4 linked regions of the Arabidopsis thaliana genome follow. The protein of the gene in region 2 interacts with the protein of the main gene of each other region in a pairwise test. Each region holds a gene or a part of one and is shown on either strand. Other genes may lie near its edges.

Evidence for each region.
Region 1: the proteins of AT4G18220 (region 2) and ESL1 interact in a protein complementation assay, tested with the Arabidopsis thaliana proteins (one large-scale study listed by BioGRID).
Region 3: the proteins of AT4G18220 (region 2) and GLR1.1 interact in a protein complementation assay, tested with the Arabidopsis thaliana proteins (one large-scale study listed by BioGRID).
Region 4: the proteins of AT4G18220 (region 2) and AT1G22570 interact in a protein complementation assay, tested with the Arabidopsis thaliana proteins (one large-scale study listed by BioGRID).

Annotation. Positions count from the first base shown.
Region 1 is NC_003070.9:2,865,419-2,871,196, forward strand, and holds ESL1 (ERD (early response to dehydration) six-like 1), read left to right. Parts: upstream 1-1,840; 5' UTR 1,841-2,027; coding exon 2,028-2,174; intron 2,175-2,264; coding exon 2,265-2,327; intron 2,328-2,424; coding exon 2,425-2,514; intron 2,515-2,592; coding exon 2,593-2,718; intron 2,719-2,812; coding exon 2,813-2,878; intron 2,879-2,979; coding exon 2,980-3,055; intron 3,056-3,150; coding exon 3,151-3,215; intron 3,216-3,297; coding exon 3,298-3,390; intron 3,391-3,485; coding exon 3,486-3,566; intron 3,567-3,659; coding exon 3,660-3,744; intron 3,745-3,832; coding exon 3,833-3,876; intron 3,877-3,959; coding exon 3,960-4,022; intron 4,023-4,096; coding exon 4,097-4,177; intron 4,178-4,295; coding exon 4,296-4,349; intron 4,350-4,441; coding exon 4,442-4,501; intron 4,502-4,595; coding exon 4,596-4,710; coding exon of another isoform or gene 4,711-4,772; exon of another isoform or gene 4,773-4,812; intron 4,813-4,817; coding exon 4,818-4,942; 3' UTR 4,943-5,238; downstream 5,239-5,778. UniProt on the Arabidopsis thaliana protein: Sugar transporter. Transports monosaccharides across the vacuolar membrane independently from a proton gradient.
Region 2 is NC_003075.7:10,076,646-10,080,875, forward strand, and holds AT4G18220 (Drug/metabolite transporter superfamily protein), read left to right. Parts: upstream 1-1,992; 5' UTR 1,993-2,082; coding exon of another isoform or gene 2,083-2,122; coding exon 2,123-2,153; coding exon of another isoform or gene 2,154-2,199; intron 2,200-2,322; coding exon 2,323-3,464; 3' UTR 3,465-3,717; downstream 3,718-4,230. Other genes in the region: PUP10 (purine permease 10), read left to right, coding at 1-850; AT4G18230 (UDP-N-acetylglucosamine transferase subunit ALG14-like protein), read right to left, coding at 3,876-4,052, 4,230-4,230.
Region 3 is NC_003074.8:1,075,283-1,081,020, forward strand, and holds GLR1.1 (glutamate receptor 1.1), read left to right. Parts: upstream 1-1,953; 5' UTR 1,954-2,078; coding exon 2,079-2,334; intron 2,335-2,517; coding exon 2,518-3,725; intron 3,726-3,813; coding exon 3,814-4,126; intron 4,127-4,215; coding exon 4,216-4,550; coding exon of another isoform or gene 4,551-4,639; coding exon 4,640-4,954; 3' UTR 4,955-5,222; downstream 5,223-5,738. Other genes in the region: AGL57 (AGAMOUS-like 57), read left to right, coding at 17-640. UniProt on the Arabidopsis thaliana protein: Glutamate-gated receptor that probably acts as a non-selective cation channel. Can transport sodium, potassium, and calcium ions.
Region 4 is NC_003070.9:7,975,913-7,980,772, reverse strand, and holds AT1G22570 (Major facilitator superfamily protein), read left to right. Parts: upstream 1-1,962; 5' UTR 1,963-2,199; coding exon 2,200-2,323; intron 2,324-2,325; exon of another isoform or gene 2,326-2,391; coding exon of another isoform or gene 2,392-2,404; coding exon 2,405-2,622; intron 2,623-2,718; coding exon 2,719-3,278; intron 3,279-3,357; coding exon 3,358-4,153; 3' UTR 4,154-4,349; downstream 4,350-4,860.

The sequences.
Region 1 (5,778 bases), on a different chromosome or scaffold from region 2:
TAACGTTGATTACTCTTTGTACTTCCTTGATTTTAGTGAATGTAATGTTGCTCTATCGAGGTGGAGCCTCGTAACATTGGTAAGGCTACAAAAATGAACATCGCTCTCTCTCTTCTTTAAGCATTCCTAAATCGTGTTTTTGTTTTTCTTTTTGGCAGCATCTTTTATTTTGTTTAAACGCCTAAAACTGCCTTTGATCTTTTTTCCTTTTTATTGATAGAATGAGATAGGACAACAAATACCTTTTTTGCCGGGAAAATTCAAAGGTTGTTGATGATTCCTTGTGTCCGCAACTAGAAAGAGAAAAGTCTGTCGTATCAAATTAGATATTGACAAAAATGTCAAAATATATGAAGAAGTGTGAGGGGAAACCGTTGATTGAACGTAAGACATTTGAAAAATGGATATGTAGTAGTTTCTAGATTTGCTTACAAGGAATGTTGAGTTGTATCATTTTCTCTAACGCAATAGCTAACGTGCACGACTTTTTTTTTTTTATGTAAACTTCAAACAAACCACGATCAACGCGTTTACTATTTATTGCATGGAAACTATAGCAAGTGTGACAACTCATATCAATTTGTGATGAATTGATTAACTACGTAGGTAGTATAATATTTGTAAGTTGGTTATTCACGTAAGAAATATTGTATTTTACTCTTATCCAGATTATTTAAGAACTCGTTTTTCAATATAATGTTTGACATTTTATACTCGAGTTAATAAACAAATTAGCTTTACATTGACAAAATTCTGTTGTATATTATTTATAATTAATCTTGACTATGGGTAATTAAATAATATTTTTTTGGAAAAAAATACATTGGATTTTCTCAAATGATCACACTTCTATTAAAACCAAAATAGTACGTATACGCTCTAGACGATTCTAAATAGATGATTAATTTGGCTCGATTCATTAATTCAAAAAATAATAATATTTAGTGTTTTAAATTAGAATTAAAATATTAAATAATTATCGGATATTTCAGTGTTTTAAATTATTGAGGATGATTTTTGTTTAGTAATGACGTCAGATTGTCTAAGGAATAGTTTGGGAAAAAAATCTGAATCAAATATGACTAACAAATGGTTATTGGTTATTGAACTGGACCATAACAAAAAGACACACACACAAAAAAAAAAACTTTTTTTATCTGGTTTGCTCCATGGATAAGAATATAGTAGCTAGGATATCCTGATCTTTAGATAACGGTAGAACATGTGGCATGTGTTTATTGTTTATTTTTATTTTATTTTGAGAACAAAATAGTTACATTGTTTGGTTATATATAAAAAAAAAACAGACCAAAAAGACAAAACCAAAGCTTAAACAAAAAAAGAAAAGAAAAACTTAATTAGACCGGTTAACACTAAACTGGTTTATGTAAAACGGATTCATAAATGTATCTAGACATTCACTTACATAAAATTCATCACAAAATTTCACCCAATTACGGTTTTGATTCGGTATAGGGACCACCTTCAAAATTACCCAATAAATAAAGAGTGGATAACAACTAGCATAAAATAATCAAAGCATCCACTAAGACACAAAACACAATTTCATAAAGATGATGATGAATCACATAACTTTAAATAAATATTCTTTCAAAAAGGCAAAACTTTTAAATAAATATCATTCGCCTGTCGGCCAAGAAAAAAAAAAAGTAAACAAAAATAAATATCATACGTATTGACAACAAAAAATTCATACGCCAGTCCAATTACAAATTACACAATATTTAAAAATTTAAATAAGGAAAACAGAAGAAGATACAATTTCAAATTAAAAAACAAAATACGTGTATATAAAATTGAATAAAACCCCAACAGAAACGTGACACAAAAGAAAAGATTGGGGAAGCTGACCTCTGCCTTTCCTCCTCCATTAATCAAGGAATATAAATCAGCTTTAAACTCAGTCCTCTTATGGAAGACAAAAAAGCAAATATTTATTCGTAAATATAACTTCAGAACCCTTTCAACAAAACTCTCTCTGTTCTTTCTCCGTGGAGAAGTTAAAGATGACGATGTCGGAGAACTCAAGAAACTTGGAAGCTGGTTTGCTACTGAGGAAGAACCAAAACGACATCAACGAATGTCGTATCACTGCTGTTGTACTTTTCAGTACTTTCGTTTCTGTTTGTGGCTCTTTCTGCTTCGGTTGTGCGGTTAGTCATCAAATCACTCATCTTTTTTTTAAAACAATTTCTCTGTTTGTTTTGCTCTGTGATTTGAAAGTTTGGGGTTGGATTTTACAGGCAGGTTATTCATCAGTTGCTCAAACAGGGATCATAAATGATTTAGGTCTCTCTGTTGCACAAGTAAGAAGCAACCCTCTCTCTTTTCTTGAATCTTTACTCAAAAAGTGCTAGTTTTGCTTAAATTACTCTGTTTTTTTGTTTTTGTTTACTACTTCAGTACTCCATGTTTGGTTCAATCATGACTTTTGGAGGAATGATTGGTGCCATCTTCAGCGGGAAAGTTGCAGATCTCATGGGTCGAAAAGGGGTAAATTTCCTGACAATTTGAAATTCATACAAACATATGTTTCAAGATCATGTACTGATGAATTTTTCTCTTAAACAGACTATGTGGTTTGCTCAAATTTTCTGCATCTTCGGTTGGGTTGCAGTAGCATTAGCAAAAGACTCCATGTGGCTTGATATTGGAAGACTATCCACAGGATTTGCAGTTGGTTTATTAAGCTATGTGGTAATAATTCTTTTACTTTCTTTTTTTCCATTTATTTTGTGTATTATATACTTATTTATTTTTACTGACTTTGTGTTAACTCTGTTGCCTTCAGATACCAGTTTACATTGCAGAAATAACACCAAAACATGTTCGAGGAGCGTTTGTATTTGCTAATCAGGTAAACTAAAGAATAATTAGAGAATAAATTCTTATAACCATAAAATAAAAAAGATATATATTATACTAATGTTCTTAAAATTTGTTCAAATGTCGTTACAGCTGATGCAGAGTTGTGGATTGTCTTTATTCTACGTCATTGGAAATTTTGTTCATTGGCGTAACTTGGCCTTAATCGGTAAGCTTCTTCCTAATCCTTTTTTTCTTTCTAGCAGGTTAGTTATGAAATTTTCATCAAGAAGTGATTTAAGTTTATCGGTTTCTGTCTCTCAGGTCTCATTCCATGTGCGTTGCAAGTTGTGACTTTGTTCTTTATTCCAGAGTCCCCTAGACTACTGGTACGTTTAGCCCTTTTTAAGTTTTGATCTTTTTTAAAAAAAGTGTGAAGTAAAACTCAATATGGTTTACAATGGTGTATAGGGAAAATGGGGACATGAAAAAGAATGTAGAGCTTCATTGCAAAGTCTTCGCGGAGATGATGCAGATATCTCTGAAGAAGCCAACACTATCAAAGTATTGCAACTTTTCACACATCTCTCTGTTTTTAAATTGTGTTGTTTTCAATAAAACATGACTAATGAACAAATCATTGGAAATGTCAACTATAGGAAACCATGATCTTGTTTGATGAAGGACCAAAATCGCGGGTTATGGATTTGTTTCAGAGAAGATATGCTCCATCTGTTGTTGTAAGTTTATTCTCAAACGTTTTGTGACAAAAAAAGTTGATTTTCTCTTGTACCGTTATACTTACTCTCTGAAGTTTGTGACATTTTGTTCAGATTGGTGTGGGACTAATGCTTCTACAACAACTCTCTGGAAGCTCAGGACTTATGTACTATGTCGGTAGCGTATTTGATAAAGGAGGTAAATAGATAAACAAACTCTGTTTCGCATGTTACGATAATTTACTGTCTTCATTTGGGAGTAACAAATATTTTCTTACTAATGGCAGGGTTTCCAAGCAGCATTGGCTCAATGATTCTTGCAGTGATCATGGTATGTCTTTGTACGTAGTTTCATTTATTCGTGAAAAATCTTGCCAAGAAGTACACTTATGCTCATGTGTTCTGCTTTTGTAGATACCAAAAGCTCTATTGGGTCTGATTTTGGTTGAGAAAATGGGACGAAGACCACTTCTATTGGTAAGATTTTGCTATCTGATCTTTTGGTCAAATATCAAATGAAGCAACAAAATTTAGCATATATCTTTTAACAGATGAATGATCTTTATTTACAGGCCTCTACCGGTGGAATGTGCTTTTTCAGCTTGCTCCTCAGTTTTTCCTTCTGCTTTCGGGTAATTAACATTAACGATTCGCTTTCTAACCAAAGATATATACAAACTTTTTTTGCTGCTGTTTATTGGAGATTCTTACCAGTTATACTAAAATTTTTCTACTTTTGTTCTTGGACAGTCATATGGCATGCTTGATGAGCTCACTCCGATTTTCACATGTATCGGTGTAGTGGTACGTTTAAAGTCATTTCTTAGACATAATAAACAAGCAACTTAAAGTATAGCTCTTGTATAACTTGATCTGAATTTGACATCATATTACAGGGTTTCATCTCTTCATTTGCCGTAGGCATGGGAGGCTTACCATGGATCATCATGTCTGAGGTAAACAAACATGAACATTAACATTAACTCCTCAAAAACCGACATATATATATTTTTTCCAGCTCTAAAAAATGTTACATTTTTTATTTTGCAGATATTCCCAATGAATGTTAAAGTTTCTGCTGGGACTCTGGTTACCTTAGCCAACTGGTCCTTTGGTTGGATTGTTGCTTTCGCCTACAACTTCATGCTAGAGTGGAACGCATCAGGTATAAATACATACTACTATATAATATACTATAGAGTCATTAAACTCTCAAAAAAAAATTAGATCTTTAATCTGATTTAATTTTTGAAATATATTAATCTGTTTCAGGAACGTTCTTGATCTTCTTTACTATATGTGGTGCGGGTATAGTCTTTATTTATGCGATGGTACCCGAAACTAAAGGAAGAACATTGGAAGATATACAAGCTTCTCTTACAGATTTTCTACAATGAGATCAAGTTTGACTTGTTTAAAGTTATTCATTTTTTCTTAGATTACAATTGGGGGGAGGTTTATAGTTTTTTGTTGTAATTGTTACCTCATTTGATGTGCAATTGAGAAAGAGATCACTTGAACATAAGGTTTAGATATCTCTCTGTCTCAGTAAATTAGCCCAATGTATGTATAGTATAGTCCCAGTTTTACACCCAAAAAAAAGAAATATAAAATTGAACTTTAAGGTATTGGCTTTTTGCTTTCATTGTATATTTAACATTTTTTTTTTTTACTTTTACTAGTTGCTAATGCTATTAATCAATCTACCAGTTCTCTGAAACCTGTAGACCCACAGTTTCTACTTTCGGACTTATTTGTTCTGTATGTGTTCCACATTTCCGGCCTCATTCCTAAAAGTTGAATTGATTTGTGAGATATTTCCTTTTCAAAAATCATTGTTCTTTTTTATATTTTCTCGATAGCATAGGGTTTTCAGATACGGATAGTGATAGGGCAACAAATAAAACTAGGTTAATTCTTATCCTCTCTAAAAGTTAGTAAAGAATAAAGACAATTTATTTCCTTTTAAGGTTCCGAAAATGAGGTTTTCTAATTCTCTCCCTAGACGTAATTAAGCTATCGCTGTGCCAACCAGATTTGTGGTAGGTTACGTGCATCTGTTGATCTATTTGCATACATCATAAAGATCAATCCTTTAATTGTTTAACCACCTTTCTGATATTTCAATTATCTTGACTTTTTTTTTCTTTGTTCGTTAAAACTATTGAATTTTTAGTCATTTAGTAAATATATTGCAAGTGCTATCCATAAAGATGTTCTTTAAATCTGATTG
Region 2 (4,230 bases):
AAAAAGAACCTCACCTAGGAACCGTGTATTGGTTTACGTAGTGCTTGGACTTCTTGTAGGAGCAGATTGCTATCTGTACTCCATTGGACTTCTTTACTTACCCGTTTCTACCTATTCCCTGATCTGTGCATCTCAGTTAGCCTTCAATGCTTTCTTCTCTTATTTTCTTAACTCACAAAAACTTACCCCTATCATTTTAAATTCTCTTTTCCTCCTAACTATATCTTCCACCCTACTTGCATTCAATAATGAGGAGACAGACTCCACAAAAGTTACAAAAGGAGAGTATGTCAAAGGTTTCATATGCACCGTTGCTGCGTCTGCTGGTTATGGTCTAGTCTTATCCCTACAACAGCTAGCCTTTCTAAAAGTCCTAAAGAAGCAAAATTTCTCAGAAGTTATGGATATGATAATCTACGTGAGTCTAGTGGCCAGTTGTGTTAGCGTGGTGGGGCTTTTTGCTAGCAGTGAGTGGAAAACTTTGAGCAGTGAAATGGATAACTACAAACATGGGAAGGTATCCTACATTATGAACCTAGTGTGGACAGCTGTTACCTGGCAGGTATTCTCCATCGGTGGCACAGGACTGATCTTCGAGCTCTCCTCTCTATTCTCAAATGCAATAAGCGTTTTGGGACTCCCAGTGGTTCCTATCTTGGCTGTAATCATTTTCCATGACAAAATGAATGGGTTAAAGGTGATTTCTATGATCCTAGCTATTTGGGGTTTCACTTCCTATGTCTACCAACAATATCTTGATGACAAAAACTTGAAGAAAAATCATGAAATCACAACAACAGAATCCCCTGACCCACCAGAAGCAGAAGAGTCAACTTGGCAATCAAAATAAGCTGATATTTTGAAAGATGCTGTCCCGCAGTTTACAGACTCAATCAATCTAGTTAAGTAAACTTACTTTACTTATCGGCCTGGAGGCATCCTACATTGAAGAATACACAATACATTTTTGATGCAACTAATGTAAAGTCTCAGCTTGAAATTTTTTGCATCATTGTAACAGGAAGTAGATTTCATTTAAATAAGTAGTGAATGACTTTGGTTTAGTTTCAATTACGATTACCCAAATTACATTGTAATCTCAGTGAACCAACAATCTTAAGTTTAGAACAGCTGATTACAAAAGTTCATCGTTTAAACTTGGGTTCATAGCAGCTAAAGATTAAATGTAACTCAACCCTGTATGTAACAAGAACCTGTAGGCAGATTGATAAAAGTAGATATTTATTTAATAAAAAACCATGTCAATTTTGTGAGTGTGACACCTGATAAAAATTAACCCTTAGCCATAACTTAAAAAGATTTCAATGCACTATTCCACTTTCTAGTTTTACCTGAAACATTGTGAAACAAGGACACACAGAAAATCATTTCTAATGAAGAAAGAAGAAATATTAATCAGACAGGTCCAAACATCCTTGGTGAAACAGAGCTTTGTACAAAAAGTAAATGACCAGAAATAATACCATTTGGCAGTCTCCATCTTAGCAGTTAATAAAGTGACTTCCTCTGCCATCCAATATTGTGGTGCAAATGTCTTCTTTTGAAAAGAGAAGCGAGACATCATCTCCATAAATGTGTTTCTAATCCACATGCCTGATCTCATAAGAGAAAGATAGTCAGACGGAACAAGCCAAAGAAATTAAAGAAGACGAATAACTTTCAAAATAGACATCCTGACGGTCATACAATCTTACAACTTGTGTGCATGCGTGTTAAGTTTGTGTCTATGCATATGGCTGATGTGTCACACAGGTATAAAATACTGAGTGACTAATGGCTACACATCATTTCCTTCTTGATTTGACTCGACTCATCTCTAGATCAACAATAGTGACAAAAGAAATTAAATTCACAGCAAGAGAAGATATACAGTTGGCATTTACTGAATGTGGGGACAAGTACAATCAAAACATAGACGATGACCGATTCCTAATCTCTAAATATATAGCTACAGCGTGTCTCACCCATATCACAGAAGCAATCACTTGGTAGCACTAGTAACCAAGCAATTTGATAATAAGATACCTAATACTTAGAATCTATTCAGAACATTGTTAGTACCTCCTTGTCCATCTCGAAGGAGGGGGATTCCACATCTACTATGAAGGGGGATCAAGAAGTACAAGTCATTGGTGAGTAAGCATAAACCAGTTCCTCGAGAACCTACTGGTCTTTTATCTTCAAATAAAAGACGAAAAATATGGTTATGGTATCTTATTATTCAATATATCAATATTTTTCATGTGTGACAACAAATAAGTCATAATCTAATTTCTTGCGTTATTTTCCATCACTCACCAGTTCAGCAGGGAAAAGAACCAATTCCAACAGATCAAGACGAAAGAAGTTCGGTCAGTGGCAGCCAAACAAAACTATCTCACTCTAATACATACAAACGGTGGCTCCGGGTTGCTATCTATACATTCTTTGTCATTTCAGGCCAATCAGTTGCTACAATTCTGGGCAGACTATACTATGAAAATGGAGGAAACAGCAAATGGCTAGCAACGGTAGTTCAGCTTGTAGGCTTTCCTATTCTACTTCCATATCATCTCTTGTCAGTCAAAACACATACAACAACTCAGAGAGATGGCAAATTAACCTCACTTAGGAACCGTGCATTAGTTTACATAGTGCTTGGACTTCTTGTAGGAGCAGCTTGCTACCTATATTCCATTGGACTGCTTTACCTACCTGTTTCTACCCTTTCCCTGATCTGTGCATCACAGTTAGCCTTCACCGCTTTCTTCTCTTATTTACTCAACTCACAAAAACTTACTCCTATCATTTTGAATTCTCTTTTCCTCCTCACTATATCTTCCACCCTCCTTGCATTTAATAACGAGGAATCAGATTCCAAAAAAGTTACAAAAGGAGAGTATGTCAAAGGTTTCGTATGCACCGTTGGTGCATCTGCTGGGTTTGGTCTACTCTTATCCCTACAACAGCTAGCCTTTCGTAAAGTTTTAAAGAAGCAAACTTTCTCAGAAGTTATAAATATGATAATCTACATGAGTCTAGTGGCCAGTTGTGTTAGCGTGGTGGGGCTTTTTGCTAGTAGCGAGTGGAAAACTTTGAGCAGTGAAATGGAAAACTACAAACTTGGGAAGGTATCCTATGTCATGAACCTAGTGTGGACAGCTGTTACCTGGCAGGTATTCTCCATCGGTTGCACAGGACTGATCTTCGAGCTTTCCTCCCTATTCTCAAATGCAATAAGCGCTTTGGGACTCCCCGTGGTTCCTATCCTGGCTGTCATCATTTTCCATGACAAAATGAACGGCTTAAAGGTGATTTCTATGATTCTAGCTATTTGGGGTTTCGTATCCTATGTCTACCAACAATATCTTGATGAAACAAACTTGAAGAAAAGTAATGAAATACCAACAACAGAATCCCCTGACCGACCAGAAGCAGAAGGGTCAAGTGAGCAATCAAAATAAGCTGTTACTTCAAAGATTGTGGCACACACAGTTTACAGACTAAAGCGAGCTGATCAAGTAAACTTACTTTTCTTTATTGGTATGAAGGCAGCCTACAATGAAAAATAAACATAATAGATTTGTGATGCGACTCAAGTGAAGTCACAGCCTGAAAATGTGTGCATCATTGTAACATGAAGTATATTTTATTTAAATATATGTTGTGCACGATTCTGGTTTAGTTTGGAATAAGATGACCAAAATCACATTATAAGCTCACTGAAATAGCATTAAGTCATTAACAAAGTCAAAACAGCTGATTACAAAAATTCATTGTTTAAAACTCAATCCTGCATATAAAGAGAAGGTGTACACTATGTAGCTTTCTAAGTTTTTGTAATATATCTAGGTGTAAGTAGAGTTCCAATCAGCTTACATCAGGCACCCAACATAGTGAGCCCGAGGATACTTCTTATGCAGTTGTGGCCATTGAACAAAGAATTGATCAGCTATTCTCAACTTGTAAAGCAACAATCCACTTAATGAGAGCTTTTTCACTCTTGCTACACTCTCAACATAAAAGATTGATGACCATCTAATTCCCAGCACCTGTAACCCAAGATGAAACAAGCACTTATGGGAATTCTAGATGTAATGGAGAAACCATGACTAAGAATAAACAAAACACATCCTCTGTTTTTGGTCACAAGTCCATTCAAGGTCATCCAAAATGTAGAGGAAAGAACTGCAAAGAATCTTGATAAAATATTTCCGAAGTGTGTATACC
Region 3 (5,738 bases), on a different chromosome or scaffold from region 2:
TCTGGTTTCTGCAAACATGTCATCTACGAAGCAAGCAAAGGGAAGAAAAACAAAGGGGAAGCAAAAGATCGAGATGAAGAAGGTGGAGAACTATGGAGATAGGATGATTACGTTCTCAAAACGTAAAACCGGAATTTTTAAGAAAATGAACGAGCTCGTAGCAATGTGTGACGTTGAAGTGGCTTTCTTGATTTTCTCTCAACCCAAGAAGCCCTATACATTCGCACATCCGTCTATGAAGAAAGTGGCTGACCGGTTAAAGAACCCTTCGAGACAAGAACCATTAGAGAGAGACGATACCAGACCCCTCGTCGAAGCTTATAAGAAACGAAGGCTCCACGACCTCGTAAAAAAAATGGAGGCGCTCGAAGAGGAGCTTGCGATGGATCTAGAGAAGTTGAAACTGTTGAAGGAATCGAGAAATGAAAAGAAGTTAGATAAAATGTGGTGGAACTTTCCTTCGGAAGGTTTGAGCGCGAAGGAGCTGCAGCAAAGGTACCAAGCGATGCTCGAGTTACGTGATAACTTATGCGACAATATGGCTCACTTACGATTGGGAAAAGACTGTGGTGGTTCATCTTCTGTTCGTGTGGGACGTCGAGTTTCTGGTGGTGTTCGTCTGTTCGATCGTGAAGCATGATCATACATATTCATACTTGATGATTTAAATTTCTTTGTATTTGAACTGCTGATTTTAATACTGCATGTATCCATTTGACGAAGCTCAATCGTCTCGAGTATATCTCTATTATCTAACAGTATTGAGAAAAAAGGAGTTTCAGTTTTCAAAAGTTGAAAGACTGAGCCAAGTGATGACAAATTCGAGCGTTAGGGTCTTCACAAATTGGATATTTTGCGAAAAATCATGTTAGTTTTTTATTTGATGTATTATTAATAAGAAATGAGGGTTTCCTTTTTTGAAGTAATCAAAAGAATTTTCCATTTTTGCGTCCAATCATGTAAAACTTAACCATTCCTTTTGTTTCCTTTTAAAGATAAAATTCCTTTTAAAAGTAATTTTTCATTTTCTTCAGAAACCTTTCGGTCATAACCTTCTCTTATAAAATAATAATCTCTTCTTACGAATCAAAGGTCTCTTATTCGAAGGGCAATAACATTTGACCATAAAAAAAACCCCATATATATATACAGTGTATATATATATTTTTGCCCCTTTGTGAAGAAAATAAAACAATCAGAGATGAGCCCTAAATTTTCCAACCATGCGACCGTTTATGTGATCCATCGTTGCGCGGGTATATCGAAGATCGTATTATGAGTCTTTTTATGATCGTATTATCCTTTGTGCGAAGTACAACTATTGAACAAGACGAGAAAAAGTTTTCATTGCGCAGGTAAGTCGCGAGGGAGATGTATTCCATAAGTATTCTATAAGCCAAGTCTCCTAATCTCCCTGGTAACGTTATCTCATTCCACATGTACTCTATAAGTATTCGCGAGCGTGTGGTTTCGATAGAGTAATAATTTAATGATTGTAGAAGGAGATGACTGTGGGATCATCCTAGACTAGAGTTTTAATCTCTTGATTTGATTTTTCCTCGACGAGTTGAACTAACCAGCTTGTGATTTTTTTTAGCTTCTCGGGTTGTGGTAGATTTTATTATATATCACTTGGTTGTCCTATCACTTGAACTCGAATATTTACTTCTACGAATTGACTTTGCGAAATAAGCTAATATATCTAGTATTATGGTTTCCCCTGCATATGTATTTTACATTGTATTTAACCTGGATTTTGAAATCAGTTTTAAAAGTAACTGTTGAAAACATAAATTAAATAAAACTTTTTTTAAGGCTCAACTATACTTTAGAAGGAAATAAATGTGTTTCCTAGTCAATTTGTGTCGATGAACAGTACACATTGACTTTGATTGTGTGCGATATCGCGTTAGTTTGATTTAAAATGATTGTGACCATACACTTCAGAAAATCAAAATGCAATTTGACCGGAAAAAAAAAATGGTCCAGTATAATTATTATTCCATGGCACAAGTAGATATGGAAACACCATTGTTTATAACCCAAAGCGAACGTTACAGAGCTATACAAGAAATTATATGGAGATTCTGTTTTCTATTTCCATTCTTGCTCTTCTCTTTTCCGGAGTAGTAGCTGCTCCAAGCGACGATGATGTTTTCGAAGAGGTTAGGGTTGGATTGGTGGTTGACTTGAGTTCTATACAAGGCAAGATTCTGGAAACTTCTTTTAACTTAGCGCTTTCAGATTTCTATGGCATCAACAATGGATACCGAACCAGAGTCTCTGTTTTGGTCAGAGACTCCCAAGGAGACCCGATCATTGCTCTTGCCGCCGGTGAGTTTTCATCTCCCTTATTCAATTATTGCAATTTTTGGTGGGATCCACAACTCCTCTTCATTTAAAGCAGACTGAATCAAATAAAAAAGAATTGACCTAGTCCCGCCGGTTTACTCCGGTTAACATTCTCATGTCTTGCACTAACCGTTTTGCACTGCAATTTGTGTTTGTATGAAACAGCTACTGATCTTCTCAAAAATGCAAAAGCGGAAGCCATTGTTGGTGCACAATCATTACAAGAGGCAAAGCTTTTGGCGACGATTAGCGAAAAAGCTAAAGTTCCGGTCATATCTACTTTCTTGCCAAACACGTTATCTTTGAAGAAATACGATAACTTTATTCAATGGACGCATGATACTACATCAGAGGCTAAGGGAATTACAAGTCTCATACAAGATTTCAGTTGTAAATCGGTTGTGGTTATATACGAGGATGCTGATGATTGGAGTGAGAGTTTGCAAATATTGGTTGAGAATTTTCAAGATAAAGGAATCTATATCGCTCGTTCTGCTTCTTTTGCAGTCTCATCATCAGGAGAAAATCATATGATGAATCAGCTAAGGAAGCTTAAGGTCTCAAGAGCATCGGTTTTTGTGGTGCATATGTCCGAGATTCTTGTTTCTCGTCTCTTCCAATGTGTAGAGAAGTTAGGTTTGATGGAAGAAGCGTTCGCTTGGATCCTCACTGCAAGAACCATGAACTACTTGGAACATTTTGCAATAACTAGGTCGATGCAAGGGGTCATTGGTTTCAAATCTTACATCCCTGTATCTGAAGAAGTTAAGAATTTTACTTCAAGATTGAGGAAACGTATGGGAGATGATACAGAAACAGAGCATTCTAGTGTAATCATCGGTTTACGCGCACACGATATCGCTTGTATTCTAGCAAATGCAGTAGAGAAGTTCAGTGTAAGTGGTAAAGTTGAAGCATCTTCGAATGTATCAGCTGATCTTCTGGATACAATTAGACATAGTAGATTCAAGGGTTTGAGTGGTGACATCCAAATCTCTGACAACAAATTTATCTCAGAGACATTTGAAATCGTGAATATTGGAAGAGAAAAACAGAGAAGGATAGGATTATGGAGTGGTGGTAGTTTTAGCCAAAGAAGACAGATTGTTTGGCCTGGCAGGTCTCGTAAGATCCCAAGACACCGTGTTTTGGCAGAGAAAGGTGAAAAGAAGGTGCTTAGGGTCTTAGTTACCGCAGGAAACAAGGTCCCGCATCTAGTGTCGGTGCGTCCTGATCCTGAAACAGGTGTTAATACTGTCTCTGGATTCTGCGTAGAGGTTTTCAAGACTTGCATTGCTCCTTTTAACTACGAGCTTGAATTCATACCTTACCGTGGAAACAATGACAATCTTGCTTATCTACTTTCTACTCAGGTGTGAAAATGCAAACAGTTTAAAAACATTTTTCTAGTCAAAAATGATTATGTATGTTTCTAATAATGTGTGTTTGCAATTTTGACAGAGAGACAAGTATGATGCAGCAGTTGGTGATATCACCATCACTTCCAACAGATCTTTGTATGTTGATTTTACTTTGCCGTACACTGACATTGGTATTGGAATCTTGACAGTGAAAAAGAAAAGCCAAGGGATGTGGACCTTCTTTGATCCTTTCGAAAAATCCTTGTGGCTAGCAAGTGGAGCTTTCTTTGTCTTAACTGGGATTGTTGTTTGGTTAGTTGAACGGTCCGTTAATCCGGAATTTCAGGGCTCTTGGGGACAACAACTTAGTATGATGCTCTGGTTTGGTTTCTCAACCATTGTATTTGCTCACAGTAAGTGTTTATGTTAGAGTACTACTCTTCATGAAATCCCATCCTTTTGTATATTTTGATCTATAACAAATTACGCACATTCTTGGCAGGAGAGAAGCTACAGAAAATGTCATCAAGATTCTTAGTCATAGTTTGGGTTTTTGTGGTGTTAATATTGACTTCAAGTTACAGCGCAAACTTGACATCAACCAAGACCATTTCTCGCATGCAATTAAATCATCAGATGGTTTTCGGGGGATCTACGACGTCAATGACTGCGAAGCTCGGATCCATTAATGCAGTTGAGGCCTATGCACAACTTTTGCGAGATGGAACTCTTAATCATGTCATCAATGAAATACCTTATCTCAGTATCCTTATCGGAAATTATCCGAATGATTTCGTAATGACAGATAGAGTGACTAATACCAATGGCTTTGGCTTTGTATGTACCCTTCTCCTCAAACCTCTCATTTTCTCTCCATTATTTGGTTACTTATTCTTGTTACGTACTAATTTATGTTTACCTCTCAGATGTTCCAGAAAGGTTCGGATTTGGTTCCTAAAGTATCGCGAGAAATCGCGAAGCTAAGATCATTGGGAATGTTGAAAGACATGGAGAAAAAATGGTTTCAAAAACTGGATTCACTAAATGTACATTCCAACACCGAGGAAGTTGCATCTACCAACGACGATGATGAGGCATCTAAGCGATTCACCTTCCGTGAGTTGCGCGGTTTGTTCATCATTGCGGGAGCTGCTCATGTTCTCGTACTAGCCCTACATCTCTTTCATACGCGTCAAGAGGTATCACGACTATGCACCAAACTTCAAAGCTTCTATAAGTAAAAAGTGATCCATCGTTCATAAGCTCTACTATAGCAATTGACGGGACAGGACTCATAAGTAACAACAAAGTACACTTCGAAACAAATTTCACATGTAATACTTGTTTTTTTTTCCCGTTTAAATTCACATGTAATAATTTAATTCACGTAAATACTAAAGTGATTCACCCATCACGAAGTATTTTTTGAATTAAATACATCAACTAATCGAGTTTTTGATAGGGACTTTTGCTTTTTTGAATATTGCTTATCAAATCAAAATTTTCAAATTCTTGTCCATATACGCCTATCAAATATCTTCTTTTAAAGAAAGTCTCCTAAAGAGTTGAAAACTTGAAATATATACTTTTCTAAAATATAATTTTATTTGGGCGTTACGTTCTAGAAAATGGAACCCGTCTACTAAAATGGGCCGCTCGTGAACTCGTGGCAGTCAAACACTGGTCGGCGCATAAAAGCATATCCAAATACGCTGCGTTTCATGCTTACCCGACCCGTCTTAAATATTTAAAGAATATTCCAGATTAGCGCGTGAGATGCAGTTGCCATGTCTCGCCTCAGGAATGACGACATTTGCCAAAATAACAGAGCTACAACGGTAAATAAGGAAAATGATTAAGGGCAATTTGGTCTTTTAGGTTAAGAAAAGTATTGAATCAGATCTGACTTTTTGGCCAAGAAAAACTCTCAGCCACTAGATCATTCCGACCCCTCCTCCACGTTCTTCTCTCTTTTAAATAACCTCTTCACGGAACCCTTCTCACTCACCTATCTCACTCTAAAAT
Region 4 (4,860 bases), on a different chromosome or scaffold from region 2:
TCGTACTTGCAAAAGAAGTTTCTACGAACTTAATGATGACGGAAAAAAATACATATGAAACACTCTACATAAACTAGTATTAAAATTCTTTATCTGCATGGTTGTTCCTTAAGATAGTTAGAGATCATTTTTGGGAAGTAAATAAATTTCCACTAAAACTTAAGACATTATTTGAAACACCGGTACACCGGTATAGTGCCTTCTAAAGAACATTCAATGTTCAAGACTTCCAAGTCATAATATTTTTTGTTTGACTTTAAAAGAGAGGAATCCATGTAAATATAATTTATTCGATGTTTGTTTGTATCTTTTCGTGAGCTTAAAGATATTACATATCTCGATCCTTTCAATATTGTTAGGTCATGATGCCATTTATCGATCTTCCGCATGTCACGCCGTTCAGTCTAGGCGTGAGTACCAATCCTAACTCCTAAGGATACGACATCATAGCAACTTAGCAACCATGTATGATAAAATGGTTCACACAAATTATTTAGGCCCGTATTTCGGCCCCTTTTGATTTCGAAATATTTTGGGCCTATAAAAAAGAGAGAATGTTTGAGACTCGAGAGTAGTAAGAAAGGAGAGAACGCAGGTTTTTTTTTTTAAATGAATGATTTCAGAGAACGCAAGTTATACACGTACTACACGTATAACACGTTCCTCAGCAAGACAACAATATTATCTTATCCTCAAGTGGATGCAAATAATATAAAGATTTTAATATTCATTTACTACATCAACCCCCAAGAACAAAAAATGTCTTCAACAAACAAATCTACAATCAACGAAACAAACGTAATCACCAAATATGAATCAATCAGCAGTATGCTGAAAATTGTTGCCAACATAATTTAAGCATGCGACTTTCAAAAACTCGAAAAATTGTCAACAATTTGAGTAATCCGAATTTTTCTGTTTCTATTACACATGAAAAGACAAAGTAACATTCAAAATCCATCTCATCTGCTTGGCGCGATAACATATCTGATAAGACTTTTTTTTGTGTGTCCAAAGCTGATAAGGTTTCCAACTTTATCAGAATCAATCTATATTTGACTATTCAAAACTGAAATACAGGAGATTATTTCTGCTATGAACAAATATTATTTTGACTATTTGACTGATCTATCACAAACATCTTAGCCAAAAAATAAAATTTAGTGACCACAGCTTGAGAAAAAAGGAAACATTCGTGTAGAATGTATTTTGCTGATTTGTGGAGAGTATAGTCTTGTGCTGTGAACAAATACATTCATATTACCCTGCAACTTGCAAGTAAAAAGAAGTTATGAAGTGACAGCTAATCAGGAGATAAGAATAACTCGATCATAAATACGGAACACCGCAACAAGCGGACCAAAGAGCATGCAAGTAGCCACTAGCCAAGTAGGAGAAAGAAAAATATACAACTACATAATAAATATTCCAAATTAAAAACTTATTGATTTAGTCTCAGCATTTATACAAATGTAAAATGTTTATACAAATGTTGTCTATTTTTTTTATTGTTAACGAATTTTCTAATTTTGAAATAATAGTGATCAATTATGTTGCTTTTGTGACTAAAAAGTAAGTGAATTTACAAATAAAATGATACGTCAAAATTATGGTTAGCTAAGCCTAAGTCTAAGAGCTTGAATGATATATGGATTTTTGGTCGATCCAACCCAAAAACATCTAAATATTCTATCAACATTTATACTCAAATAACAATTGTACATCACTAAGTTACATGTTTTTTATAACTTAATTTTAAGAATAAGTCGTGATCAATCAAATTACCCTTGATGTTGACTTTTGATTGAAAAAAATGACAAAAAGAATTTGCTGATACAAAACAAAACATGGCAAATATCTAGCTCGTACGTGTATCACTTGTCCAAAGGAAGTATGCGTATTATTGCGTAATAATACAATAATATCGGAAAGTTATATAAAATAAAAATACAAATAAGATAATGTAATTGCATACTTATTTTTTAACGCGTATAGTACACTCATCTCAAATGCCAATAAATATACAGATACACATAAAAGAAAGACTAGAAAGTTTAGTTACCCAAAATATCATAAATTAATGTAATCGTGTTCACTAGTTGCGCAAGACAAAGAGATCTTTTAGCTTAAAAATCTCATTTAGGCATTTACCCTTTAAAAAGTTTTCACAGAGATTCTCAACCTCTATTGGTGAGAGAAATGAAGATACCAGAGGAAGAAGTTGCACTCTTAGAAGATTACGTTAGCGATTCCGTCGACCACCGTGGATTTCCCGCCGGAAAATCTTCCACCGGCGGATGGAGATCGGCCTGGTTCATTATAGGTAAAACACATCAGAAACAATCCAATTTTTTTTCTTTTTCTAGTTAAACTTCTAAGTCCCAGTCTTAAATGATTTGTTTAGGTGTGGAAGTTGCAGAGAGGTTTGCTTACTTTGGGATTGCCTGCAATTTGATTACTTACCTCACCGGACCTCTCGGACAATCGACGGCGAAAGCTGCCGTGAACGTGAACACGTGGTCGGGAACTGCCTCTATACTTCCTATTTTAGGAGCTTTCGTAGCTGACGCTTATCTTGGTCGTTACCGTACTATTGTCGTAGCTTCCCTCATCTACATATTGGTTAGTACTTTTGTCTTCTTCTAGTTAAACCGGTTTGATCTTTGTATGATTTAAACCGGGATTTTAGCTGAATTTGGAGGATTATTATTATTACAGGGGCTAGGACTATTGACGTTATCAGCTTCTTTAATCATAATGGGATTATCTAAGCAACGTAACGACGCTTCTGCTAAACCATCTATTTGGGTTAATACACTTTTCTTCTGTTCTCTGTATTTGGTGGCGATCGGACAAGGTGGACACAAACCGTGTGTTCAAGCGTTTGGTGCGGACCAGTTTGATGCTGAAGATCCGAAGGAGGTAATAGCGAGAGGGTCGTTTTTCAATTGGTGGTTCTTGAGTTTATCTGCGGGAATAAGCATATCGATTATTGTGGTCGCTTATGTTCAAGAAAATGTTAATTGGGCGTTTGGGTTTGGGATTCCTTGTTTGTTTATGGTTATGGCTCTTGCTATCTTCTTGCTCGGGAGGAAGATATATAGATACCCAAAGGGACATCATGAGGAGGTTAATAGTAGTAACACTTTTGCAAGAATCGGTAGAGTTTTTGTTATTGCGTTCAAGAATCGGAAACTGAGGTTAGAACATTCTAGTTTGGAATTGGATCAAGGTCTATTGGAGGATGGTCAGTCCGAGAAACGTAAAGATCGGCTCAAGTAAGTTCGAATATTTTGTGTTTTGTTTTAGTCTTTTGGCATAATTTTGAGTGTAAATTTCTTTACCTTGTGTGACAAGTTTCCTAGCAAAAGCAATGATCTCAAGAGAAGGTGTTGAGCCATGTAGTGGTAGGGACGTGGATGACGCGAAGGCTTTGGTAAGGCTTATTCCGATATGGATCACATACGTGGTGAGCACGATTCCGTACGCTCAGTACATAACTTTCTTCACGAAGCAAGGGGTCACGGTGGACAGAAGAATCTTACCGGGAGTAGAAATTCCAGCGGCTTCTTTATTGTCATTCGTTGGTGTATCTATTCTCATCTCAGTGCCCCTATATGAGCGTGTATTTCTCCCGATAGCTAGGAAGATTACCAAAAAGCCTTTTGGGATCACAATGCTCCAAAGGATAGGAGCTGGAATGGTGCTTTCAGTCTTCAATATGATGCTCGCTGCATTAGTAGAATCAAAACGGCTAAAAATCGCTAGGGAACACGGGCTAGTGGACAAGCCGGACGTGACCGTTCCAATGTCCATATGGTGGTTCGTCCCTCAGTATTTGCTACTCGGGATGATCGATCTGTTCTCTATGGTGGGAACACAAGAATTCTTCTACGACCAAGTCCCAACGGAGCTAAGGAGCATTGGTCTCTCGCTTTCTCTGAGTGCGATGGGTCTTTCAAGCTTCTTGAGTGGTTTTCTCATCAGTTTGATTGATTGGGCTACGGGAAAAGACGGCTGGTTCAACTCTAACTTGAACCGAGCCCATGTGGATTACTTTTATTGGTTGCTCGCTGCTTTCACGGCCATTGCTTTCTTTGCGTTCTTGTTCATCTCCAAGATGTATGTGTATCGTCGGCTAGACCAAGTCTAAGAATTCAGAGTACTAGTTTTTTTTTTTTTTTGGTAAGAAGAATTCAGAGTATTACAGTAGAAACTCTATAAATTAATAATGGTGAGACCATGAAATTTTATTAATTTATAGTGATATTAATTTATCCTCTAAATTAATAAATATTAATTTATCGTATAAGTTAATAAATATTAATTTATAGAAATATTTACGTAAAGTACAATACTATATTCTTTTAAAAATATTTTTTAATGTAATTTTCTATATGCTTTGTTGTTTGCATATATAATTATGTTAGGTTTTTATTTTAATTTGACTTTTTTAATTTATTTTCGTCAAGATTTGTATCTGTATATCTACGACATTAACGTGAACGTAAACGTAAACATGAAAGTTAATCCAGTTTCTCTTTACACAAATCATAACAATGCTTTCTCAAATAAAAGATTTTACAAAATCAACTATGACGGATCAAATACGCAAATAGTTATGTGAGTACAACAGAGATCATATCAGTTGTATTTTAAAAAGAGTTAGTTTGAACAAAAATTTCATATAAAAATTAGTCTTAAGATATATACTTAAGATCTATGATTATTAATTTATAATATTATTGGGACTATAATTTTACATAGGGATTTTAAAAAAATTATTATCTTATTATTTTATCGATTTTGATTAATTTTTATATTGGCCCAACTTGGGACCGACAAAATTTATTAATTTAT